Macaca fascicularis: one gene and its partners. The protein of the gene in region 5 interacts with the protein of the main gene of each other region in a biochemical or structural test. Links are inferred from orthologs where the notes say so. Each region holds a gene or a part of one and is shown on either strand. Other genes may lie near its edges. The genes, in order: GTF2B, RXRA, PRKCZ, TLE5, RELA, TBP and DPF2.

Evidence for each region.
Region 1: the proteins of RELA (region 5) and GTF2B form a complex in vitro, tested with the Homo sapiens proteins (2 studies listed by BioGRID and IntAct). The link is inferred for Macaca fascicularis from reciprocal best matches to the Homo sapiens genes RELA and GTF2B.
Region 2: the proteins of RELA (region 5) and RXRA form a complex in vitro, tested with the Homo sapiens proteins (2 studies listed by BioGRID). The link is inferred for Macaca fascicularis from reciprocal best matches to the Homo sapiens genes RELA and RXRA.
Region 3: of the proteins of RELA (region 5) and PRKCZ, one has a biochemical effect on the other in vitro, tested with the Homo sapiens proteins (2 studies listed by BioGRID). The link is inferred for Macaca fascicularis from reciprocal best matches to the Homo sapiens genes RELA and PRKCZ.
Region 4: the proteins of RELA (region 5) and TLE5 form a complex in vitro, tested with the Homo sapiens proteins (2 studies listed by BioGRID). The link is inferred for Macaca fascicularis from reciprocal best matches to the Homo sapiens genes RELA and TLE5.
Region 6: the proteins of RELA (region 5) and TBP form a complex in vitro, tested with the Homo sapiens proteins (2 studies listed by BioGRID). The link is inferred for Macaca fascicularis from reciprocal best matches to the Homo sapiens genes RELA and TBP.
Region 7: the proteins of RELA (region 5) and DPF2 form a complex in vitro, tested with the Homo sapiens proteins (2 studies listed by BioGRID). The link is inferred for Macaca fascicularis from reciprocal best matches to the Homo sapiens genes RELA and DPF2.

What each region holds. Positions count from the first base shown.
Region 1 is NC_088375.1:145,807,540-145,811,039, forward strand, and holds part of GTF2B (transcription initiation factor IIB), read left to right. Parts: intron 1-1,148; coding exon 1,149-1,255; intron 1,256-3,500. UniProt on the Homo sapiens protein: General transcription factor that plays a role in transcription initiation by RNA polymerase II (Pol II). Involved in the pre-initiation complex (PIC) formation and Pol II recruitment at promoter DNA.
Region 2 is NC_088389.1:5,036,650-5,040,901, forward strand, and holds the start of RXRA (retinoic acid receptor RXR-alpha), read right to left. Parts: upstream 2,801-4,252; 5' UTR 2,624-2,800; coding exon 2,596-2,623; intron 1-2,595. UniProt on the Homo sapiens protein: Receptor for retinoic acid that acts as a transcription factor.
Region 3 is NC_088375.1:232,633,381-232,636,880, forward strand, and holds part of PRKCZ (protein kinase C zeta type), read right to left. Parts: intron 3,175-3,500; coding exon 3,122-3,174; intron 1,576-3,121; coding exon 1,387-1,575; intron 1-1,386. UniProt on the Homo sapiens protein: Calcium- and diacylglycerol-independent serine/threonine-protein kinase that functions in phosphatidylinositol 3-kinase (PI3K) pathway and mitogen-activated protein (MAP) kinase cascade, and is involved in NF-kappa-B activation, mitogenic signaling, cell proliferation, cell polarity, inflammatory response and maintenance of long-term potentiation (LTP).
Region 4 is NC_088393.1:3,755,860-3,759,359, forward strand, and holds part of TLE5 (TLE family member 5), read right to left. Parts: intron 3,154-3,500; coding exon 3,109-3,153; intron 2,508-3,108; coding exon 2,445-2,507; intron 981-2,444; coding exon 906-980; intron 827-905; coding exon 605-826; 3' UTR 1-604. UniProt on the Homo sapiens protein: Transcriptional corepressor. Acts as a dominant repressor towards other family members. Inhibits NF-kappa-B-regulated gene expression. May be required for the initiation and maintenance of the differentiated state.
Region 5 is NC_088388.1:8,709,420-8,712,919, forward strand, and holds part of RELA (transcription factor p65), read left to right. Parts: intron 1-121; coding exon 122-253; intron 254-1,080; coding exon 1,081-1,185; intron 1,186-1,401; coding exon 1,402-1,614; intron 1,615-3,500. UniProt on the Homo sapiens protein: NF-kappa-B is a pleiotropic transcription factor present in almost all cell types and is the endpoint of a series of signal transduction events that are initiated by a vast array of stimuli related to many biological processes such as inflammation, immunity, differentiation, cell growth, tumorigenesis and apoptosis.
Region 6 is NC_088378.1:506,202-509,701, forward strand, and holds part of TBP (TATA-box-binding protein), read right to left. Parts: intron 2,606-3,500; coding exon 2,202-2,605; intron 1-2,201. UniProt on the Homo sapiens protein: The TFIID basal transcription factor complex plays a major role in the initiation of RNA polymerase II (Pol II)-dependent transcription.
Region 7 is NC_088388.1:9,029,184-9,032,683, forward strand, and holds part of DPF2 (zinc finger protein ubi-d4), read right to left. Parts: intron 2,519-3,500; coding exon 2,381-2,518; intron 2,256-2,380; coding exon 2,127-2,255; intron 1,939-2,126; coding exon 1,826-1,938; intron 1-1,825. UniProt on the Homo sapiens protein: Plays an active role in transcriptional regulation by binding modified histones H3 and H4. Is a negative regulator of myeloid differentiation of hematopoietic progenitor cells. Might also have a role in the development and maturation of lymphoid cells.

The DNA of each region.
Region 1 (3,500 bases), on a different chromosome or scaffold from region 5:
TTGTCTTAATATATTAAAATACTTTCCTTAGAGGAATTTATGGAGTAATCACAAATATGAAGTAATACTTACCCCTGCGTTTTCCCAACGAGAAGATTCAAGACATGTTCTGGTTAAGCTGAGTAGATAAATTTGGAGGGGAATAGGGATTATTTTATCAGTTTTCCTGTAGATATCATCATCTAAGTTGAGAGTTAACCTTCTGAATGGTATTTGCTAACATGAGAAACTTTACCCCAAACCACAAATAACTATTTACATACTATAAGAACAGTTGATTTTTGTCTTTTACGTGCATCTGATGTCCATAACCTAACCATTTATTGTATTATTTCAAACGATTTTTAAAAGGGCCTTATTTGCAGTGCTACCAAGCATTTATGATTGGGAGGTCATACCCCCTGAAATAATGATCAAATATTTGTTGCTTTTACAGCTGATTCTGTCAGATCATTTATGATTAATGTGTAAAAAAAAGATGAACGTGTCTTCTGCAAACTGCTTTGTTGTTCAAAATAAGATAAATTGAGCTAATTATTAATATCACAGATAAATTTACAAGTAGCTTTTGAAACAATTCCTTGAATGATAAAAAATTCAGTAACTCAATTCTGGACTAAAGGAAATCATCAAGTCTTAAGTTCAGCAGAGCAACTTCTACCATCCCTCATTTCTATACTTACTGGGTTCAGTGTACTATTTAAATCTGTTACTAAAGTAGTTAACAAGTAGAAAAATACAGAGAGAAATTGTTCTCTGACTAGACAAATAAGTGGCAAAGAGCACAAACTGGATGGTAATGTAAATGCTGCAGGTTATTATGGTAGCTAGTCATTACAACACTAATCAGCATTTAAAAAAATCTTAGTAGACTACATATTAAGAGAAGAAACTAATTATTTTCTATTTATGTTTTGAAAGCCTTCCACAGTAAAATAAGAATTCCAGTGGAAACTACTTGCCAGTTACTAGCTAGAATTTAAAGTAACCTAACTGGGATGTTTACTTTGAAAATCTAGCTCACACGTGTTATAATCGTATGTATTGAAGAATGTTTACAATCTTTGTCTTCCCCATCCCGCGTCTCAGGAGATTACTGTGATACATGTTGATTGGGAAGATGTAAAAATACAACTTTTTTCTTTTAGTTTGGATGCTCTTCCAAGAGTCACATGTCCAAACCATCCAGATGCGATTTTAGTGGAGGACTACAGAGCCGGTGATATGATCTGTCCTGAATGTGGCTTGGTTGTAGGTGAGTTGTTATTATGGTTTTAATTTAAATTACTGTTTAGGAGGCCAAGCACCGCGGCTCATGCCTGTAATTCCAGCACTTTGGGAGGCCGAGGCGGGAGGATCACCTGAGGTCAGGAGTTTGAGACCAGCCTGACCAACATGGAGAAACCACATCTCTACTGAAAATACAAAAACTAGCTGGGCATGATGGTGGGTGCCTGTAATCCCAACTACTCGGGAGGCTGAGGCAAGAGAATGGCTTGAACCCGGGAGGCAGAGGTTGCAGTGAGCCGAGATTGCATTGCACGCCAGCTGGGGCAACAGAGCGAGACTCCTTCTCAAAAAAAAAAAAAAACAAAAAAACTTGTTTAGAGTTCTTCACTTTTGCATAGTTTCCAAACTGTCATTTAATGAACACATTTTGACTTTCTTCCCCAACAAATAATTTATTGCCAAAAAAAAAAAAGAATTAGGAAACAGAAATGAGTAAAGTTGTTTAGAAACATATTTTATTGTATATCCAAATTTATGTTTTTATAATGTCGGGTGGGAGCTAATCCAGAAGAAATGAAAAGGCCACAGTAATTTCCTAAGTCCTTCGTCTGAAATACTTGGTGGAGGACTGGGGAGATGGGCTGACACTCATGCATATTAAATAATCAAACTTTTGTGACTTTTTTATATGTTGAGAAGTAGATAAACATGATTTTTGAGTCTCACCGAAAGCCTTTTAGTCCAAAAAAAAAAAGATTTATTATAACTTTTATATGGAATCATTTATTGATGAATGTCTAGTATAAAATTACTGTCAAAAATACCACTTAAAATTTCACCTTGTTCCTACCTGCGCACTAATTTAGATATGCAGCAGAACTTTAGACTGCAGATAGTCTGTTCAAAAACTATTCTTGTGGTGGCGTTGCAGCATCTGAGAATCGGGGTAATAGTTAGCAGTTTGAATTACTTAAGAATGAAAACTCTAGAAGGATTGTGGGCAGTATAACAGAAGCATTAGTAGTGGCATACTGTGGAATTGTCTTACTTGGTCCAAGAAGGCTGTTTGCCTCAGACCTACAGTGGGAGTTTTAAAGTATAGAGTTGCTAATAGGGATTGAGAATCATTTGCTACTGTATGCCGCTGAGTAAGGAATAGCCAATACATTTACTATATACTAGGTACTATTCTAAATGATTTGCATACTCACTCAGTTTATCCTCACAACAAACTTGTGAGGTGAGTACTAACATTATCTTCACTTTACAGATGAGGAAACTGATGTTTAGGTAGTCTAAAAGATTGACTCCATTGTCTGCATGGGAGGCAGATTTCTATCTTGTATTGCCTTTCATAATAATAAAATTTTAATCTGGGGTCATCAAAGTACAACCCATCACCTGTCTTTATATGGCCTATTTGCTAATATGGCTTTTACATTTTTAAATGGTTGAAAAAAATCATTATTTTGGGACATGTGAAAATACAAATTTCAGTATCTATAAAGTTTTTCTTCGTTTGTTTTTTGAGATGGAGTTTTGTTCTTGTTGCCGAGGCTGGAGTGCAATGGTGCAATCTTGGTTCACCACAACCTCTGCCTCCCGGGTTCAAGTGATTCTCCTGCCTCAGCCTCCCAAGTAGCTGGGATTACAGGCATGTGCCACCGTGCCCAGCAAATTTTGTATTTCTTTTTTTTTTAGTAGAGACGGGGTAGGCCGGGCGCGGTGGCTCAAGCCTGTAATCCCAGCACTTTGGGAGGCTGAGACGGGCGGATCACGAGGTCAGGAGATGGAGACCATCCTGGTTAACATGGTGAAACCCCGTCTCTACTAAAAAATACAAAAAATTAGCCGGGCGCGGTGGTGGGCGCCTGTAGTCCCAACTACTCGGGAGGCTGAGGCAGGAGAATGGCGTGAACCCGGGAGGCGGAGCTTGCAGTGAGCTGAGATCCGGGCACTGCACTCCAGCCCGGGCGACAGAGCGAGACTCTGTCTCAAAAAAAAAAAAAAAAAAAAAAAAAAAAAGTATCCCATTATATTTTCAGCCTTCCCACCAGCCTCACTTCCGCTTTAACCAGAAAGACAGTTGAGATTAATCAGCCAGAAAAGGAAGATACAATTCACAGGACTTGTAGGCTGCTTTCTTGTGCTTGGAATTCCTAATTTTTGCTTGTACTTTTCTGCTGTATCAAACCAAAGGAAGTTAATTTTGTTTTTGCTTTTATTGATTTATTCATATCAAACACCATGTTAAATCTTGAGGTCTGAAA
Region 2 (4,252 bases), on a different chromosome or scaffold from region 5:
GGGAGGCCCCGGAATGTGCTCTATTTTGGGTCCCAAGGGCTCTGATGTTACCAGAAGCCCCTCACCCAGGCTGCAAGCTCACCCAGGTCCCTGAGTGCCCTGACTCCAAGAGTGGTCAGTGGGCCTACAGCTTTGCCGGCGGGTCTCTCCACAGGCACATGGGGTCTGGTGCGGTCTGAGACCTTTGGACTCCGTGGACTCCGCCTGAGTCCCACCATTCAGGATAAGGCCAGCCAGGGCCTTCTCCCCGGCAGGCGTAGGAGCACGGCCAGCCCTGGGCAGCAGGGCCAGGAAGCTGGGGCTGCCTCTGGCGAGTCCCTCGGCCTTGCTTTCCTTCCAGATCTGGATGCTGGACTCATCCCTGCCCTCACTGAGTGGCTCGGTGGGCACTGACCGGGATCCTCCCCCGGCCCACCAAGCCCAGCAGCAGTGAATGCAGGGAGGAAGAAGCCCTCTCTACTCCAGACCCCAAAAGTGGCCGGGCAGCTGCAAGGGGTGGCCGAGTCTCCCCCAGCAGCTCCAGGTCTGACTGGTCGGCCAGCCGGGCCAAGACAAGCCAGGCCCTCCGCCCGCCACTCACCCCCAGGAGGGATTAGGCTGTGTTGACAAAAGGGCTTAGACAAGTAACCGCTTAAATGGACCTTCGACTGCTCTGGACTTCAGAGCTGGTCACAAGCTTAGAAAAAAAATAAAATGTAATCAGAGCCCAGGACTCTCTGCTCAGCCCTGGGGCGTGGGCTGCCTGGGAGGCCACGGGCTGGTCGGGAGAGCTGGAGAACAGAAGACTCCCAGCTTCCTTGTGGCAGGGGAGTGCCCAGGGAGATCCCTGGGGCAGTGGCTCAGAGGCACGACCTCTCCTCTTCACAGGGACTCCAGCAAGCCACCATGGGGACTGGGCACCCTTGCTCCCTCACCCTACATACACCAACTCCGTGGACTATCCCTGTCCCACCCAGGGCATTAAAAACAGGGACCTGTTCGGTTCTCAGTACTCAGCTGAAGTGCAACCAGCCAGGCCCCTGCCACGTCCGGGGGCCAGACACTGAGCTGAGCATTCTTGTTCCAGAGGAATCGTCTGGGAGAGCGTAGCTCTGTACGTGTGGATGTGTGTGTGCAGATGTGTGAGTGCAAAGCTTTAACGAGGAAAGGCAGCCCCCCCTGCCCCACAGTGCACTCAGTCACAGACAGCGCAGCGTTCCCTCCTGCCTCACACTCAGCAGTACCACCAGCTGCGGGTGCTAATCCCAAATCCACCACTTTGTATCCTGGGGGCTCAGCCTCTCCCTGCCAGTTTTCTCATCTGCAAAATGGGCATGAGCGCCCACCCCTGGAGGCTGAGCCCTGGAGCTCATTCAAGGTCTCAAGCCCACCACTCCATCATGATAGAGTCAGGGAGTAAGTGTCAGGTCTGACAAACCTGGAACCCACCCCCCACCCCGCCCCAGTCACGGAGCAGCACACCTGCCTGTGAGTAGTAGGGGTACTCAGACTCTCACCTTCATATCCAGGAGGGGCTGGGTCCATGCTGGCTCCCCTTGATGTCCCATTTCACTAAACATCCCTGCAGCTACACTGGCCTCTGAGCACCTCCTGGGGTGGCCAAGCTGCACCCCAGGCTGTAGGGAGGGTGGGCAGGAGGGGCTAAGAATGGCGGGGTTTCATTCATAATCAGCTGTTTCAATTTCCATTCAGCACAAATCCTTCACCCGGCCTGACAGCCTGGCTGCCGTCCCACCACCAAATTAATATCCTTCCCGGAGCTCATTTATAAAGTCTCCCCCTTCTCACTAGCTTCCAAACCCTTGGGAGGGCAATGGGTGGGAGCCCCAGTCGTGCCCTCTCCTCCTCCTCGGCAGGTCTGGGCCTGGAGTTGGCGGGCAGTCTGGGATAGGAAGCCACCGGGCGGGATGGCAGGAGGAGGGAAACTGACCCTCTGCGCTGTCCTGCTCACAAATGGAGAGCCAACCGAGGAGAACACCCGGGACTGCCAGAGTGAGGGGCCCCATTTCTGGGATGGGGTCTTCCTAGGTCTGACGTTCTGTTCATACAGCTCCCGGGGGACCCTGCCCACCCGGGCGTGGGCTGCTTTGGGGATAACAGGGTCCCAGTCTGTTTCCTGGGCGGACACACACCCAAGGGCCAGCGGCCTGCTGGAAGCCGCAGCCCGACGGGCAGGCGGCGCAGAGGCCGCTCGGGGCCCAGCGCGCCGTCCCGGTCCCCAGGCCAGGGAGGCCGGAGCCGCGGAGCGCAGAAGTTGCTCCTCCCGCTCCGGCCGGGTTCCTGCGCGGCCCGGCTGCAGCTGGGCGCCAGGGCGCAGGCTGCCGCCGGTGGCCGGGAGACCCCTCCTCGTCCCGGGCGAACCTGCCACCCGCCCCCTCGGCCCCGCCGCCCGCCCGCTGCCCAGCCCCGCCCGGGCCCCGCGAAAAGTTGCCCCGGGTCGACCCCCTCCGGGCCCGGCGCCCGAACTCTCGCGAAGGTTGGCGAGGGGTCCAAGCGCGGCCCGGGCCGGCGACCCCCGCGCGCGCCGCCAACGCGCCCCCGGCCCCCGCCCGCCGGCCCCTGGCCCCGTCCCCGCCCGGCCCGGCGAGCACTCACCGAGCGGCAGGAAATGTTTGGTGTCCATGTCTGCGACTAACTCATGCCCGGCCGGCGGCGCAGGCAGCGGGCGGCGGGCGCGGCGGCCCCCGGCGCGGCCGGCCCGGGCCCGGGCGGCGGGGAGCCGGCGGCGGCGGTGGCGGCGGCGGCGCGCGGAGGCCGCGGCGCGGCGAGTTGTTGCAAAAGTCGCCCAACAATGTAAACTACTTGTGTCTGCGCGCCGCCGCCGCGCGCGCCCGGCCCGCGCCCCCGCCGCCGCGCGCCCGCGCCCCGCTCCGACCGCGGCGCTGCGGCGCCGGCGGGGGGGTGGCGGGGGGCCCGCGACGGGCGCGGACTCGGCGCAGCGCCGCCGCCACCGCTCGGCCCGCGCCCCGCCCTCCCGGCCCCGCCCGGAGCGCGCCCCCTCGGCCACCGCCGCCGCCGCCGCCCCGCGATCGCCGCCCGCCTGGCCGCCGAGTTGCGAGCGCCCTGCAAACTTGCGAGTTCGCCTCCGCCAGGGGTTCCCGGGAGCCGCGAGGAGGCGGCGTGGGAGGGGGCGGGGCGCGGAGGGAGCGGGGCGGGGGCGGGGGCGGGAGCAGAACTCCCTCCCCGAGCCCGCCACACACTCGCGCGCACACACACACTCGCACGCACAGGGCCCGGAGGAGGCGGAGAGCCGGGCCGGGAGCCCAGCGGCCGGGCCATTGTCTGCGCGGCCACACAAAGCGGCCGGGCGGTGGCCGCGCGGGGACCCTGGCCCGGGCCCGGCAGGCGCAGAGTGGGGCGGGACGGCCGCGGCACCCGTACCTCGCACCCCGCCGCTGCGGACACGTGGGGAAACTGAGGCCCGGGAGTGGCGATGAGCCCCAACGCCAGAGGACGAGCTCCTCGTCCGGGGAAGGTTTCGTCTTCCGGACGCTCCCCCCGGTCCATCCCCCACTTTCACGCCCTGCCCCCACGGAGAGACCCATGAGCCCACCCGGAACGAGGAGGGGCGCGCGCTTCGCCGCCTCATCAACCCGCACTCCTGGACCCCTCTTCAAAGGCACCAGGCTGGGCAGGCGCTGCCCGGAGTTGGACATAGACTTTGTGGCCGGTGGCTATTTTTATACCCCGGGTAGTTCTCTGCCTGACTTTTAAATTCCAGATTTGTTTGAAAACGAAAGGAAGCACTCCTGCCCCGGGACAGCTGGGGCCTCCTCCGCGCCGCGCGCTGCCCGCCGTCTCAGGCGGCTGGAATTCGGGTTTGGGTGTGAGGTACCTGCGCGCCGCCAAGCCCAGCCTTCCTGAGCAGGCGCCGAGGCGCCCGGCCGCGCCCACGCTCCGCGCCCCCACCGCGAGCTTGCTGCCCGCTTAGACCTAAGGGCCCGGGCTGCGAGGCACAGGGGCTGACCAGTCACGCAGGCTACACGTGGTGGCCAGGGTCAGGGGACGCTAATGGGGAGGTAGGTGAGGAGGTGATGACCGCGTATGGACAGGCATGACACCGCCCAGAGATAACAGCCCAAGACCAGAGAGGTGTCCTGCTGCCTGGGTGCCCCTCAAGTCAGGCCACCTGGAGCTGGATTCCACAAGGGGTCTGGTGGCCTGTCCCGGTGGGAGGTCTTGGTTCCACTTGGGACAGGAGTGCCCTGGTTGGGCAGTCCACCCCCAGCACAGCCAGAGGCCAAGGTAGCCC
Region 3 (3,500 bases), on a different chromosome or scaffold from region 5:
AGGTAATCCACCCGTCTTGGCCTCCCAAAGTGCTGGGATTATAGGTGTGAGCCACCATGCCTGGCCCTAACTGTACATTTTAAAATGTCAAATTCTATGCCATGTGTATTTTACTATAATTAAAACAAAAAGGTGTATGAAGTCAGAATCAAGATTTCAACAAATAGGCCAAGAGCAGTGACTCATGCCTGTAATCCCAGCACTCCAGCAGGCTGAGTGGGGCAGAGTGCATGAGTGCAGGAATTCGAAACCAGCCTGGGCAACATAGTTGAACCCCGTCTCTACAAAAAACACAAAAAATAGCCGGGCATGGTGGTGCACGCCTGTAGCCCTGGCTCCTCTGGAGGCTGAAGTGGGAAGATCACCTCAGCCCAGCAAGAGGTGGAGGCTGCAGGAGGAGGTGGAGGCTGCAGGAGGTGAGCTGTGATCATGCTCTGCACTCCAGCCTGGGTGACAGAGTGAGACACTGCCTCTACAGAAAATACAAAATTATACAGCTGGGGGTGGTGGCTCATGCCTGTAGTCCCAACACTCTGGAGGCTGAAGTGGGAGGATCACCTGAGCTGGGGAGTTTGAGGCTACATGGGCTGTGATCAAGTCACTCCAGCCTGGGTGACAGAGTAAGACCCTGTTTAAGAACCTATTTCCAAAAAAAAAAAGATTTCAACAAATAAACCATTGATCCTATAATCAATAAACTTCTCCCCCAGAAACAGCTGGTGTGGGAAGATCTGCTACACAGAGCCGCGGCAGTTCAGCACGTCCCTCAAAGCTGGGGCCTTGTGCAGGACGGAGTGAGGCAGTGCCTCTGGGCAGCTTCCTGTCCTACCCCATCACCCGCCCGGTTCAGCTCAACCCCAGGGATTTCCTAACAAGGGTGACGACGTCCTCAAGCTCAACCGCAGTCTGCTGGAAGGCGACGTATCAGTGGTTGGCCACACACGCGAAGGTCGCGGAGACGATACCCATCTTCACCTTTTCAAAGCTTAGACACGAGTGCTCTCTGCGGTGGTCCGCTCACTGCCTGCGGTGTGCAGTGCACGGACAGCCGTGCGGGCCGGCAGCCTGAGAGCAGGAGCTGCACTGTGCATCCTGGCCGCGGAGTTGGCTGCGCCGTTTGGGTTTGTGGAGCACGCGTTGTGACATTCACACAACGGTGCCATCACCTGACCAGGCACTTTCCAGAACACGTCCCGGTTGTTACGCGACGCATCACTATTGATTTTGCGCAAACTCCATCAATACGAGGCCAGGACTCTCATGCCTGGATTAATTTTGCTAAAGCCTGGAGCATTCATTATGGCCTTCTAATGCCCTCTTCCCCAGGTGGCGGCCCCAGGGCGGTGCGTTCCCGGGACCCCGAGCGCCGTGAGAAGTGGCACCTACCTCGTCGTCATGCACCAGCTCTTTCTTCACCACTTTCATGGCGTAAATTTGGTCATTCTTCTTCAACCGCACCAGGAGAACCTTGGCGTAGCTCCCGCGCCCTATGACTCTGATTAGGTCGAAGTCCTGCAGCCCGAGCCCCTGAGAGATTTTGATTCCATCCATCCCATCGATAACTGGCTTAAGGTCCTAGGAAGGGAGAACAAGACCCCAGAAAGTGAGGGGAGAGGGGTCCCGGGAGATTCAGAGGACCACGCATCACTCATGCGGTCCCAACAGAGATCTGCTCCTCAGAGCCTAGAGCCTCACGATCCCAGTCTCAGCTCTGCGTCCCACAGATCCCACCCCCACACTCCCATCTAAACCGGGGCACAAAAGGTGAGAACTTCAGGCTGTGCTTCTGAGGAAGGTGCTAGAAAGTCGGAAGCTGCTCGTTTCCACAGACCATGGCTCTGGTCACAGCTGCCAGTGGGAGGGACCCCCAGGCCTTCAGCCCTACCAGTCGGGCTGAAGAGGTGGCCACTGGGACATGCGGCCCAGGGCCTGGGCCCATCCTTCCCCATCAGGGCCCTCCCTCGGGGAAGGAAGGTAAAGCAAACGTAGCTAATGCCTGCCAAGAGCTCCCAAACCGGCAAGCACACATTATTAGAAATAATTATTAGAAATATACAGAAGAAAGGCGCTCCGAGGAAAAAGAGAAGCCTCGGCCTCCTGCAAGCTACACCAGGCAAGGATGTCGGGGTGGAGGAGGTAGTTCGCTAGGAGGTGCTGTTCTGTGCAGCAGAATGGATTCTGCTTTTTTTGAGACAGGGTCTTCCTCTGCCACCCAGGCTGGAGTGCAGTGGCGCAATCTCGGCTCACTGCAGCCTCCACCTCCCAAGCTCAGGCGATCCTCCCACCTCAGCCTCCCAAGCAGCTGGGACCACAGGCCCATGCCACCATGCCCAGCTAATTATTTTGTATTTATTTTTGCAGGAATAGGGTTTCACTACGCTGCCCAGGCTGTTCTCAAGCTTCTGGACTCAAGTGATCTGCCCGGCCCAGCCTCCCAAAATGCTGGGATTGGAGGTGTGAGCCACCGTGCCCGGCTTTGGATTCTGCTTTCTAAGTGACCCAGCCTCCCTCCAGACACAGGACGGCCAGGAAGGAGCACGAGTTGTGAGGGTGGTATGTGCCGCTGCTCTGGAAAGGTGTGGGCTTTGCCAGCGCAGCCCTTTCTTGGGTTTTACGAGCAGAGGCTGAGAACACAGCAAGCTCTTCTGTTCCCTTCTCAGGGTTTGTGGTGCAGAGCTGGCCACAGACGCGAGGCTCAGTTGAGCCTCTTCGCTTGAGTTGGGGAAGGACGTGAAAAGGCATTAGAGGGGTTTGCCAGGACGGCCAAACGAGGCAACGAAAGGAAGGCCGTGGTGCAGACACAACTTGATAAAAATTACAGCTCAAAAGCCAGCCCCTGGGCCACTGTACTGCCTGGGTGGAGAGGATGTGGGGCGCGGCTTCCCCCCAGGGTGTGGTCCCCAGACCACCCGCTGGGACAGCTGCCTCCAGGGAATCACCAAGGATGTGCCTGAAATAAGACCCAAGAACAAGGGCTTCTTTCTAGACACCCACACCCGTAAAGATTAGCAACATCCCGGACCGTATATTTCACATCCAGATTTATGTGACTGCCCCAGAGGCAGGCTCACAGACTTCCAAGAGGACGCTGGAAAGGTAGCGAGCTGCTCCGCAGACTCACCTCAGAGTCGTCTTTAATGCTGTCATGTTTCCGGGATGAGGAAATGTAAGCAACTGGCGAGAGAGGGAGGAAGAGGCGTTACGGTGTCGTCAGGAACGCGCTGGGAACACAGCGACCCCGTGGGCCCTGCTCCTCCACCAGGCGACGGTGAAGGGCAACTCTACACAGCAGCCATGTCTGATTCTATTTTAGAGTCTTTTGAAAATGCAGCTTCCTGGGCCCCACTCAGACCTGCCGACTCTGACCATGGGACCTGGGGATGTACATTTGTGACACACGCCCCCAGGGGTCCATCTGCAAATAATTAGTCATCAGATTTTGGTGTCTAGTGAATGGGTGGGTGGGGCAGGAGGGGATGTCTAGTGAAGGGATGGAGGAT
Region 4 (3,500 bases), on a different chromosome or scaffold from region 5:
CACAGCTAAGCTCGTCCCTCGTGCCCCCTCTTTTGTGGGCAATGGGAGAGGACCAGGTGGGCGTGGAGGCGTCTGGAACTAGCAGAGGTGGTGAGTGGGGCAGGAAGTGGAGGTGGGAGCAGACCTGGGACCCCGGGTCGGGGGAGACTCGGGGTGCCCAGGATGGGAAAGGGGCAGCTAGCATTGCGTGCATGCAGTACCAGGGTGAGAGCGCAGTGGCGTGTGCCCCGAGGGGCCCGGGCAGACTGTCAGTTACACGTGTTCAAAACAGGGGAATGGCCAGGGGTTCTGGGCTTCTCGAGGTCTTGCTCCCTTGGGACCTGGTCTCCCATCTGACCCTCCAGGCCTCAGCTTGCCTCACATGTCAGGGCAGGTATCCACCTATCCAGGCTGCAGGGGAGGAGGAGGGAGGCCGGGACTGGGGTAGGAAGAAAGCTAGAGGTGGCCTGCAAGTCGGACTGGGGCCTCCGCAGGCAGCCGCCATAAATACTATGGGAGTTTAGCCAATCCCGAGCTCCACTGTGTCTTGTGCTAAACATTCTTTCTCTCCGTGCCTCTGTCTCCCCTCTGTCCCCCCTCCCACCCTCCCCGTCCCGGCCCCCTGCTAATCCGACTTCTCGCCGTCATCCTCCTGGTGGGTGTCACCGTCGTGCCCGTTCTTGTCTTCCTTGGAGAGGTGGGCCTGGGAACCCAGCGCGGACAGCGAGAGCAGGCCGGTGCCTGCACTGACCGCCGGCAGCGAAGGCGGCTGCAGCCCCACAGGCAGTGGGGTCAAGGGCAGGGCCAGGGCCTGCAGCTGGGACAGCTGGTGGGCTTGGAGCTGCTGCTGCAGGACGGGGGAGGGGAACGTTAGCTGCCTAGGGCCCACCTGTCCCCCGCCCACCCGCCCAGGTCCCCATACGTACTCGGATGATAGAGTTCAACTCAGGAGCGGTGACCTGCTTGGCCCTCTCGATGGCTCCCAAGACCTGCTGCTGGTGCTGGAAGGGGGTGAGGAGAGAGGAGAGGCAGTGATTCCTCCTGATCCTGACTGAGAGAGGAGGCGGTGGCTACCCTGGGGCCAGGAGGAGCCCCGCTACCAAGGGGGCCATCATGTCTGCTCCTCCCAGTGGTTTTCAACCCCATCAGAAAGCGCCTTCCCTCTCTCCAACTGCTTCCTTTCACCAAGCTCGTCTCTTCATCTGGCCAATGGAGATAAATGGAAAAGTGCAGAAAACGATTAAAAGGGTTTTGTGCCAAGTAGTTAGAAAACGGCCTTTGAGTGAGTCTGGGAGAAACCCCGGATCCTGACCTATCCTATGTCCGCAGCCATGTACAAAGACGTGAAAGACGTGAATATTTGTGCAGTACACAACCTGCCCAACTGTACAGGGATGTCCTGATCCTAGGAGCTCCAAGACTGTGCCCTGAGTCCGGCCAAATTGAGCCCTTCTCCTACCATGGCTGGAGAGGGCCCAATGAATTCTGGCAGAGCCAGCTGGGGAATGGGCCTAGGTTCAGGGCAGTTCCTCCCCCAGCTCTCCCCAAACACCTGACTCTGTGGCCAGCAGATGCTAGAATCTATCAATCTCCCTTTTTGCTTTGGCCACCAGGAAGCCTCCGTTCTGAAGAGTTCCAATTGCCCTTTTCTCTAGGGCTTTCATTGGGTCCTTCTAGACTTGTCCCTGGGCAAAGCAGGGCACCCAAAGGATCCTGAGATACAGCGATTAAAGAGGAAATTACAAATTTTTGACAGTAAACTTGGCAGGGACAGGAGATGGGCCTTACATGGCCCTGGGGAGGGGCAGCCTTGCATCCTGAGCCTCAGAACCCAAGAAAGGAGAAGAGAAGCTGGGCATCAGGTTCCTCTGGGTGTGTGTGCATGTGGTAGTGTGTGCTCAGGATCACATGTGCTTACGTGTAGCTGCACATTCCTGCGTGTGTGGCCCTGTGCTGTCTGCACACGCCGTGTATCCGTGTGTGTCTGCGTCTGTGTGTGTATCTCCCGTATGTTGATGTGCTCATACCTATCTATGTGGCTGTGTCCATGGGGGACCGCCCTGTGCTACCCCATCCCCGCAACACACCCTCTAGTCTTTGGTTCTGTGCCACCCGCAGGGCCTGAAGGATGTTCTCAAGAGGGTGAAAGGAGGAAGAGATGAGAAAAAAACATTCCTGGTGCAGTTTTGGCCCATCCGACATTTCTACCTATGACATGACTCACTCTAGCTGGGAATTCCAGAGCAGGGTGAGGCCCGGCCCCCACACCCCTGTACCCCTGGAGTGTCTCTGGCCCAGGGATTCTTCTGCATAGGCCAGCTCTGGTGCCCAGAGCCGGGGAGGTCCAGAGAGGGGAGGCATGTGCCCTGGGGCACCCAGCACGCCCCCCAAGATGGTTGCAGCAGACAGGGGCTGGGCAAGGGGAGGGCCCCCTGGCACCCCCTCCCTGAGGCCCTGGCTCTTACCTCTTGGGAGAGGTAGGGCAGGACCTGGGCACAAATCCCGTTCAGCCTTTTGACAATCTCCGCCTGGAACACACAGATGAAGTCAGCGTCAGTCCTGGATGGGTGGCAGGTGCAGGCCAGCCCCAGGAGGCCCGCACGGGGCCCAGCCCAGCCCTGCCACTTGCGGCTTCTCTCTAAGAGGGGCTAGGTCTGGCCAGGGTGGGATGAGCAAACCCGTGTTCGGGCCCAAGGGCAGCCAGTCAGTGGCAAAGGTGGGGCTGGAGACCGGCTGTCGCCTGCAGCTTGGAGTGCAGTAAATGCAGGATGAGGCCAGACTGCACATTCCTCGGCTACATTCCTCAGGGCTGGGCCACTCAGGCCCCTGGCAGATAGTGAGCGCTCGTGGGAATGTAGGGAGGGCTGGGGGCCACAGGTTGTGGGGAAGGTCTCCGCCTCTCCCGCCACCCCCAGAAAACACTCCAAGGGAGGCCTGAGAAAGAGGCGGTGGGGAGGAGAGTGGGAGCTTGGGAAGGGCTTAGGAGGTAACAGGATAACAGGGCTGGCTGGGTGCCCAGCCAAAGGCCGGCTGCTACCTGCCTGGGGGTGCCCAAGGGGGTGCTGGAGGCGGGGGGCAGAGGGGGAGGAGGGGGAAAGGAGAAGGAGGAGGAGGAGGAGATGGGCGTACCTGTTTGTGCATCTCGATGTTCAAACCGTAGGACATCTCATAGTACTGTATGGGGGAGAGAGAGAGGGAGCGGGAGATGAGGGCAGGGAAGGATGGGGGGGCATGGAGACAAAGAGATAAGGGAGTGGTAGAGACAGACAAAGGGGGGAGAGAGCAAGAGACAGCTGAGGGCAGGAAAGAAACGAGGCAGGTGGGAGGGAAAGAGCAGGAGGGAGAGACGCCCACACCCAGCGTCCCAGCCAGCCCGGGAGAGGGGCAAGGGGCCTGCTGGGGCTGCGGATGGAGACTGGAAGCACTTTAGGTCCCTAGCCCTGGCCTGGCTCCTCCCCCACTCCGTGTGCACCGCGAGAACACGCATTCCAGGGCTCCTAATCTTGTATCTTTCTATGATC
Region 5 (3,500 bases):
CTCTAGGACTTGTGTTTTACACACTCGCCAGCGGCCCTCCCAGAGCAGAGCTCCCTGCCCCAACTGGTCACACCTATATCCCCACTTCCCCTGCTCTCCTGATCACCTGTTTTCTTGCCAGTTCCTATAGAAGAACAGCGTGGGGACTACGACCTGAATGCTGTGCGGCTCTGCTTCCAGGTGACAGTGCGGGATCCATCAGGCAGGCCCCTCCGCCTGCCGCCTGTCCTTTCTCATCCCATCTTTGACAACCGTGAGTAGCGAGGGAGACACAGGAAGGGGAGAGGGTGGGCCTGGATAGGAGGAAGGGGTTGGGGTGAGTGTGGCCTGCAAGAGGTGCTCTGATTCATCAGTCATCTTGTGTATTCATCTTCTCTTCTGTGCCCAGCTCTTTGTTGGCTGGGGAGAGAAGGCAAAGAAGACCCAGAGCTGTCCTTGAGGTGTAGCTCCGGCCTGGCAGGGAGTCTAGCAGGGAGTCTGATGGGAAATGGGCATTTTCAGTATCGTGTGATGAGAAGGTGGTGTGCCCACAACTGCGATAATGACTCTAGGAAACGAACTCCCAGGAATAAGATAGTGTTCGAGAATGATGCTTCAGTGACAGAAGCCCGCAGACGAATTGGGCTGACTGATCAGCTGCAGTCTTTAATTAAGTAACCAGCAGGATGAATGGAAATAAAACGACTCTGGAACCCCAAAGATGGGAAACCAGGATAAACTGGGAGTCAGGAGGGAAGGGCTCATTGCCAAGGTGGGTATGGACTGACCTTAAAGATTGCTTTGGTCAGGTGGAGACACAGTGTGATCAGATTGGCACTCACTGGACTATAAGCTCCGTGAGAGCAGAGGTTTAGGTTTTGTATGTGGTTGTATTCTCCTTGCTTAGATCAGTAGGCAAATACTTGCTGAATTGGTTGGGGTGAGGAGCTAATAAGAAGGTCTGACTGTGGCTGCAAAGGTGTAGGTGGCAAGCTCTGGGCAACCTTGACTTGGGGCTAGGCAGGGAAGTTGCATCTCCTGCAGGCCACCCCGGGGACCTCTGGTGGCTCAGGTCATCCTTCCTTGTTCTCACTGCCTCAGGTGCCCCCAACACTGCCGAACTCAAGATCTGCCGAGTGAACCGAAACTCTGGCAGCTGCCTCGGTGGGGATGAGATCTTCCTACTGTGTGACAAGGTGCAGAAAGGTATACATCAGGAGGCAGGGGTGGGCTCTTGGGAGCAAGGGGTGAAGCTGAGCAGAGACGGGGCGTGGCAGGCAACTGGCTTTGGATACTTCCTCCTATGCCTCAGGGGCCTCAGGTGGGCCGAAGGGTGATATTAGAAGACAAGCATCCGAAGTTGAGGGGGAGACCGTGGAGGGTTAGACACACTGACCCACACTGCCACCCCATCTCCTGCAGAGGACATTGAGGTGTATTTCACGGGACCAGGCTGGGAGGCCCGAGGCTCCTTTTCACAAGCTGATGTGCACCGACAAGTGGCCATTGTGTTCCGGACCCCTCCCTACGCAGACCCCAGCCTGCAGGCTCCCGTGCGTGTCTCCATGCAGCTGCGGCGGCCTTCCGACCGGGAGCTCAGTGAGCCCATGGAATTCCAGTACCTGCCAGATACAGGTACACAGCTGGGATGGCAGCATCAGGGCAGCTGGGCTCTGCCATGAGAGAGAGGCCAAGACCGCATGTCTGGGGCTGTAGTTGAGGGCCAGAAGCTGGAGTCAGAGCTTGGGATTTATATGGTAATTGGAATCCATTTCTTGCCACATTTAATGATAAGGATACCTCAGACGTTGAGCTAGTACTACACATCTGCCCTATTCCAGGCATTTCACTGGATCACCTGATTCTAATGTCATGACCCTTTTGAAGTAGGAGATAGTGTCTGACTTGCTTGGGTTCACGTGGCTAGTAAGTAGCAGAGTCAGCATTGGAACCCAGGCCATCTGGCTTCAAGGTCCTTTTGCCACACTGGTTGTCTTGTCACTACCATAGAGCTCAGCCACATTTTGGTCAAGGTTTGAATGTCTACTTGGTACCAGGGCCTGTGCCAGGTATTGTGAATACAAAAAATGAGTAAGACAGGCTCCCTGCCCTCAGAATCTCAGTCACTTGAGGAAGACAAATATGCAAAACAGATCCTTAAGTCACAGAATGACACGTGAAACAGAGGTGTGTGCAGAGCAGCACGGGGGCACGGTGGCCTCCGGGGAGCTGGAGACAGCTGCATGGAGAAGGTGGCGTTGAAGCTGGAGAAAGACACGGAAGTGTGTTCTCTAGGCAGGTGGCCAAGCACCTGGAAGGGAAGGGGTGTTGGCAACTGCACGGCCTGTTCGGGGGCATCTTCGTGGTTTGAGCCGATGTTGGGCAGTGAGCAGGCTCAGAGAGAGGAGGGCGTGGTTAAGCTGAAGGCCTCTAAGCAGAGAAGTGACAGGAGCAGATTTGGAAGTTGACTCAGGAGGCCACATGTAGAAGATCAGAGACGAACAGACTCAAAGCGGGGAGGCCATTCTGGAAGATGTTGCTGTAGTCCAGGAAAAGAAGATGCGGCACAAACCTCGTAGAAGGAATAGCGAAGCAAGATCACATCTCCGCCACTGTCCTCAGTTACCCTTCAGCCCTGCAGCCATTTTGCATCTTACAGACCAAGCTCAGTCTCACCTCAGGACCTGTGTCTACCTATTGCCTCTGCTTGGAATGCCTGGCCCAAGGTTTTAATGCAGGTGGCTTATGCCAGTCCTTCCCTCTAAATTTAGACTGCCCCGACCTCACTTCCGGTATTGTTCCATCACCGTATCTTCCCTGAACCACTGTCACTTGAGATTTTCTGGTTTGTATATATGGTTGTGTCCCTCTCACTTTTTCACTAGGATGCCAACTTTTTGGGAGCAGACACCTTGTGTGCTTATGGCCACATCCCCAGTGTCTAGAAGGGAGGCTGGCACATAGTAGGTGCTTGATAAATATGTGTCAAGTTAGTGGTGGGGAGTGAGAGAAAAGAAGGTAATCATTCCAAGGTTTCTAGCTTGGGTGACAGGGCAGATGGCAGATGGATGGTCAGGAAATACAAGAGAAAGAATCCAGTTTTTGAGGGATGATGAGGTTGTCTTTGAATTAATGGAATTGAGGTGCTTTGGAGCTACTGAAGTACCATTGTAATTAGAAAGACAGTTCTGGGCCGGGCGCGGTGGCTCACGCCTGTAATCCCAGCACTTTGGGAGGCCGAGACGGGCGGATCACGAGGTCAGGAGATCGAGACCATCCTGGCTAACACGGTGAAACCCCATCTCTACTAAAAAGAAGTACAAAAAACTAGCCGGGCGAGGTGGCGGGCGCCTGTAGTCCCAGCTACTCGGGAGGCTGAGGCGGGAGAATGGCGTGAACCCGGGAGGCGGAGCTTGCAGTGAGCGGAGATCCGGCCACTGCACTCCAGCCTGGGCGACAGAGCGAGACTCCGTCTCAAAAAAAAAAAAAAAAAAAAAAAAAGAAAGACAGTTCTGAAAGCT
Region 6 (3,500 bases), on a different chromosome or scaffold from region 5:
TTAGCAAAAAAAAAAAAAAAAAAGGCAAAACCCTGCTTTCTCTTCTAATTATCTCTCAGTAAATAAGGATAAACGGAGCCATCTGGGTCCACTGACCCTTTACATTTCTCAGTGTTCTTACATCACTTAATAAATAACTTATACAAGGATAAAGATATACTAAAAAGCAACTCTATTAGAAGTTTTAATAAAAATTTAAACAAAAACCTACATTTTCATTATACATTTTTTCTGCTTATGAAAGTATATATACTTGGCCAGGCACAGTGGCTCACGCCTGTAATCCCAGCACTTTGGGAGGCTGAGGTGGGCGGATCACGAGGTCAGGAGATCGAGACCATCCTGGCTAACACGGTGAAACCCCGTCTCTACTAAAAATACAAAAAAATTAGCCGAGCATGGTGGCGGGAGCCTGTAGTCCCAGCTGCTCAGGAGGCTGAGGCAGGAGAATGGCGTGAACCCAGGAGGTGGAGTTTGCAGTGAGCTGAGATCACACCACTGCACTCCAACCTGGGCGACAGAGCGAGACTCCGTCTTAAATAAATAAATAAATAAATAAATAAATAAAGTACATATACTTGAAATGGGCAATGTCCTTTGAATGCAATTAACTGCGCAACAAGTGTCTTGCATGGACCTGGCAATCACCATCCCAAGAATATAGAGTCCAGATTTCAAATACATAGGTTCAAATACAATAGGTTATAGCTCACTGTTGCTTCTGGTTCTTTTTCTTATACTGTCAAAATGCAAAACTTTTGAAAACTTGATGGCTCATAATTTTGTTCAAAAGAGAATGGCAGTCTATGATACACAACCGTAAAGCCAATTAGGTTGATCCACACAATGTTTTCATTTCCATATCATCTCTTTCCTTCCAATCACCGTTGTATACACACCTGGCTTTAGCATTTGTCCACTGATGAACTATATCAAGTAGATTTTAGTACATCTATCACAACTTTCATCACATAATTGTTAAATGTATTCTTATATGTTTTCATTCATGAAATATTTGCCTTAATCCCTCTTAAGCCTACAAGACTGAGAGGGCACTGAATTACCACGCAGGAGGGTTCTTAGTAGAGAGCAGCTCAGGGACGTGGATGACTGGATGCTCTCGGGAGTATCAGAACAACAAAGGCACGGCAAGAAACAAACACCTGACTGTACTGTTTATACTTTATTATTTAAATCAGAAATGCAAACTTAAATTTTCCTGGGAGTCCGACAAGCATGCTGGACACATGGGAGCGGTACAGACAAGGGTGAGCTAAAAAGGGCTGTCTCTAAAATCACTAAAATTACTTTGTTTTTAAAATTGTGTGTGGGGTCAAACAAAATTGTAGAGGCAAGATTTAGGTCTTTGGGTAAAAGTCAGCATCCACGATTACACACCACTAAGTTCCAAAAATGATCAGAGATAGCTTATAAACAACAACCATATATGTAGCAAGGTGAATAAATGCAAATAGGAAATACTAGATCTAAAGGGAGTATGAAGGAGGAAGGTATCTGTACAAGAAAACTGAGGAGATGCAGAGACTGCAAGTAACCTTTTAATTTGGTCATAAGCTTTCTAACATGAAAAGCTGCACGCTTCTTATTGACGGGGATTATTTGGAAATATTTGTTGTTTTTTCAGGAAGATGAAATTATTTCCTATCCCTAATACCCTGTTACATATAGAACCCACTTCACTTAGGTAGAAAAATCCATTTAGGACAAGAACAGTCATCCTCATTTTGTGGGAAGGACACAGACCTTCAAAGATTCATATGCAGTCCCCACAGTAAAAATAAAAAACAAGAACTGCCAGAAATTATACTGATACTGTGACTAAAGACCTAAAATAGCATAAGGGAAAGAGACTACATAACATTGTGATTTGGCGATATCAGATACAGGGAAATGTCTATAATATAATAATAATGACAGTGAAAATCACATTAAATTTTATTGGCTCAGGTATATAAACACAAATGACCACATTCCTAAACCTGTTAAGAACCTTTTACTGAGGGCACTGACTAAGATGGCTTTGCTTCCCTTTCCCAAGTGTGAGATAAAGCAAATTTTGATACACAATTGCTGTTAGTGCCATTCCCTCCCTTAATAAAAGGATCCATCAGAAAACAGAGCAGGAACACAACTCAAAGGGACTCCTAAGTGGGAGGAAACATAAAACACCAAGTACTCACTGCAGCTGCGGTACAATCCCAGAACTCTCCGAAGCCGGAGTGGCAGGAGTGATGGGGGTCATGGGGGTCACGGGGGAGGGATACAGTGGAGTGGTGCCCGGCAAGGGTGCAGTTGTGAGAGTCTGTGAGTGGAAGAGCTGTGGTGCCTGGCCTGAGGTTCCCTGTGTTGTCTGCTGGGATGTTGACTGCTGAACGGCTGCAGCGGCCACTGCCTGTTGCTGCTGCTGCTGCTGCTGCTGCTGTTGTTGCTGTTGTTGCTGCTGCTGCTGCTGTTGTTGCTGCTGCTGCCTTTGTTGCTCTTCCAAAATAGACAGACTATTGGTGTTCTGAATAGGCTGTGGGGTCAGTCCAGTGCCATAAGGCATCATTGGACTAAAGATAGGGATTCCGGGAGTCATGGCACCCTGTGGAAAGCAAGGAGAAAAACAGGTTAGGCTGGCTGCTGCTGAGTGTTTGTGGAAGTTTCTTGGTGGAACAGCAGGTGAGATGTGCAAAGACAGACGCCCTCTGAGAATAATGGGGTTATTAATCTTTAATTACGGAAGAACCAGCTATTCTTATACACATTGCTTTCTTCTTTAATACCACACAGTGGATAAACATGAAGAAAAATGGATAAACTGAACTTTGGAAAAATTAAAAACTTCTGTTCTCTGAAAGACACCATTGAGAAAATTAAAAGGCAGGCCACAGATTGGGAAAAAAATACCTATAATACATACATCTGAGAAAGGACTGGTAAACAGAATAATAAAGAGCTCTGACAACTCCATAAAAAAAGATCAACAAATAAAATAATGAAAAAGGACAAAAGATGTGAAGGGCATATTACAAATGAAGATACAGGCATACCTCAGAGATACTATGGGTTAGGTTCCAGACCATCTCAATGAAGCAAGCAGCATGAATTTTTTGGTTTCCCAGTGTCTACAAAAGTTATGTTTACACTATAGTCTATTAAGTGTGCAATAGCATTATGTCTAATAATATGTATATACCTTAATTTTAAAATGCTTTATTGCTAAAAATGCTAACAATCCTGTGAGCCTGCAGCAAGTCATAATCTTTTTGCTGATAGAGGATCTTGCCTCGATGCTGACAGCTGCTGACTGATCAGGGTGGTAGCTGTGGCCATTTCTTAAAATAAGACTGACGAAGTTTGCCACAAGGACTGACTCTTCCTTTCACTGAGATGTCTCTGTAGCACACGACGCTGTTTGACAGCGTTTTACCCACGCTAGAACGTAGTTCAAAACTGGAGTCAGTCCTCTCAAACGCTGCTGCTGCTTTCTCAACTAC
Region 7 (3,500 bases), about 320 kb from region 5:
GCTGGGGTTAACATGTGTGCCACCACACCTCACTAAGTTTTAATTTTTTTTGTGGAGACAGGGTCTCCCTATGTTGCTCAGGCTGGTTCTGAATTCCTGGGCTCAAGTGATCCTCCCGCTTCAGCCTCTCAAGTGTTAGGATTATATGCATAAGCCTCCATCCTTGTCCCTACAGTCTACCCTCCACACAGCAGCCAAAGTCTTCTTTTAAAAATATAAGACAAGGGCCAAGCGCGGTGGCTCACGCCTGTAATACCACCATCTTGGGAGGCTGAGGCAGGTAGATCACCTGAGGTCAGGAGTTCGAGACGAGCTTGGCCAACATGGTGAAACCCGGTCTCTACTAAAAATTAGCCAGGCGTGGTGGCGAGCGCCTGTAATCCCAGCTACTTGAGAGGCTGAGACAGGAGAATTGCTTGAACCTGGAGGCAGAGGTTGCAGTGAGCCAAGATTGTGTCACTGCATTCCAGCCTGGGTGACAACAGTAAAACTCCATCTTGAAATAAATAAATAAATATAAAATAAAATATAAGACAATGCCAAACATGGTGGGTTCACGCCTGTAATCCCAGCACTTTGAGAGGCCAAGGTGGGAGGATTGCTTGAGCTCAGGAGTTTGAGACCAGCTCAGCAATATGGCAAGACCCTGTCTCTATCAAAAATATAAAAAAAAGAAGCCAGGCATGGTGGTGTGCATCTGTGGTCCCAGCTACCTGGGAGGCTGAGGTGGAAGGATTGGATTGCTTGAGCCTAAAGGGAGAGGTGGTAGTCAGCTAAGATTGCATCGCTGCACTCCAGCCTGGGTGACAGAGAGACTCTGTCTCAAAATAAAAAAATAAATACATAAAGAATAAATAAACAGCCGGGCGCGGTGGTTGACACCTATAATCCCAGCACTTTGGGAGGCTGAGGCAGGCGGATCACCGGACGTCAGGAGTTCGATACCAGCCTGGCCAACATGGAGAAACCCCATCTCTACTAAAAATACAAAATTAGTCAGATGTGGTGGCACGTGTCTGTAATCCCAGCTACTTGGGAGGCTGAGGCAGGAGAATCGCTTGAACCTGGAAGGCAGAGGTTGCAGTGAGCCGAGATCGTGCCACTGTACTCCAGCCTGGGCGACACAGCAAGACTCCGTCTCAAAAAAATAAATAAAATAAATAAATACATACATAAATAACCATGTCACTTCCCTGATTAAAACCCTTTGACAGTGTCCTATTGTACCTAGAATAAAATCCAAGGCCCCACAGATCTGGCAGTGCTTGCCTCTCTCATCTCATCCCCCGCCATCCTCTCCCATGCCCTATCATTTGGCTTGTCCACTATAAGGCCTTGGCACTGGCTGCTCCTTTCCTGGGACTGCTCTACCTCCAAATCTGCTTGACTGGCTCCTTGGTATCACAAAATTTCAACACCAGCATCCCCCTCCCAGAAGAGCCAAACCTCACCATCAAAATAAATCACTTATGCAATTATTCTCTGCCACATTACTGGTTTCATTTTTTTCATGGCACATTATACAAATCTCACATCCTTGCTTATTGTTGTTCCTGTAAGAATGTAAATCTCATGCGGCAGGGACCTTGTTTGTCTTTAGTATCTTTAGTGCCTAGAACAGTGTCTGACATAAAATCAGCACTCAATATATATATTATCTGGCAACAAATCAGAGTTCTGACTGAGATGCTAGGGAGGGGCATGTGGCATGTAGGAGGGATCTTGCTCCCTTTTTAAAAAAAGAAAGCTCACTTTAGAGGGAACTGTGCAAACAGCAGTAAAAGCCCAGAAGGAGCCATGCTGAGGAGGGGGCGGGGATACACACGTCATTCTCAGAGGTGCCGCAGATGTTGCAACATTTGCACTCGATGCACTGCCAGCGGTACGTCTTCACTGCCGCCATCATCACGGGGGTAAACTGGAGGCAAGATGGATGCCCTATAGTGGGGGAAGTGAGAGAGACAGACAGTTGGAAATGCAGGGGGAAGAGAGGAGCTCCTGCTTGTGGCTACATCTTCTCTTGGTTAGGTAAAGTGAGGTGGGCTGGTTATGACAGCACTAGAGGCCAGCAAGCCAAGAGCCCCTTGGGGACTGGGCACAGCAGCAGCCTTCACGGGAGGCAGTACCTGAGCGGCCACAGTCAGAACAGGACACCAGCTCCTCGGGTTGTCCCGTCTTCTTGTTAATCTTTGAGTCCCCCAGGCAGAAGTCACAGTAGTTGTTGGGCAAGGCCAATCCATCAGGACCCTTTTTGGCTGCAGAGAGAAAGACTTTTGATGACGCCCATGGGGTCCCTGAGCCACTCAACACCCATGCAAGGAGTGGTTTTCATAACCAGGCCAACTTCTGCTTGCCCACCACTTCTGACACCTCAGCTTACATTTCTGCTCCTCAGACCTCTGGGAAACAGGAGTGGGTGGCTGGGAGTCTTCCTTGTCCTCGCCCTCCTCCTCAGCCAAGTGGGAGTGGGCATAGTGGTAACTGAGGCCTGGTCGGTTCTTGTAACGTTTTCCACAAACTGAGTGGGGAGAAGATTGCAGAGAAAGGTGTTAGGATACAAGAGTAACATGTCCCCACCCCTGCAAACTGTGGGGGCTCCACCTGAGGCAGAGGGCAACCATCCCTTCCCCTAGCAGCTCTACTCTGGGACAGGCCTTAAGTGATGGCCCCTTTCCCTCAGCCACGAGCATCAAGCCCTGGGGCTCTCTAGCTTCTGGGACTCTTTTACCTCCTAAACTCCAACCCCATGGCCACCACTGCTCTTCCATGTTGACTTTTGGGGGCTTAGCCCTCGCCCCATCACTAGTTAGTTGCTCTGGGATATAGTAACAGTCTGGGACGCTCCAGGTCAGGAAAGGGAAGGATATTCCTATAAGTCTTTGGTGTGGCAGGAAGGGGGAAAAGCGGATACAACTCCAAACGTTTTTACCCATCAGTAAACGTGGGAGGCTCAGCTACCCCACACAGACCATGGAGCCCATCTCCTCTGAATGTGCGTAAACAAGCAGGGGTGGGTTTCTTGGGGATATCCTATCAATGAAGCCAGTTGGGCAGTTGTCCCCAGAGAAATTCAAACACACTCCCACATAATTGCCCTGTCCAGGCCTGCCAATCAGCAAGGAAAGCAGATCCCCACGAGGCATTCTGTCATCTTGACAGGTAATACCAAGAAGGGCAAGGGGGCCAGCAGGAAAGGAATGGGGAGAGAGGATGGCAGGAGGTGGTGGGGCAGTGGGGAACATGAGCTGACCACCAGGTGCCTGATCTGGGGAGGGAGCGGAAGGGTCTGATTGTAATGGGCTCCTGATAATGCTTCTGAAGCCACCCCATGCACTGGGCTGAGCAGCTCTAGGAGTAGGTTTGTGGGAGACAAGCAGTGGTAAAGGCAGCCTCCAGGACTTTGAGGAGTAGAGCACAGCAGAAGTTCCACTGCTCCTACCCCCATGCCATTCCAGAGATTTTAAAGCTAGCATCCCAGGAAATGAGAAAGGCAGGAGGAA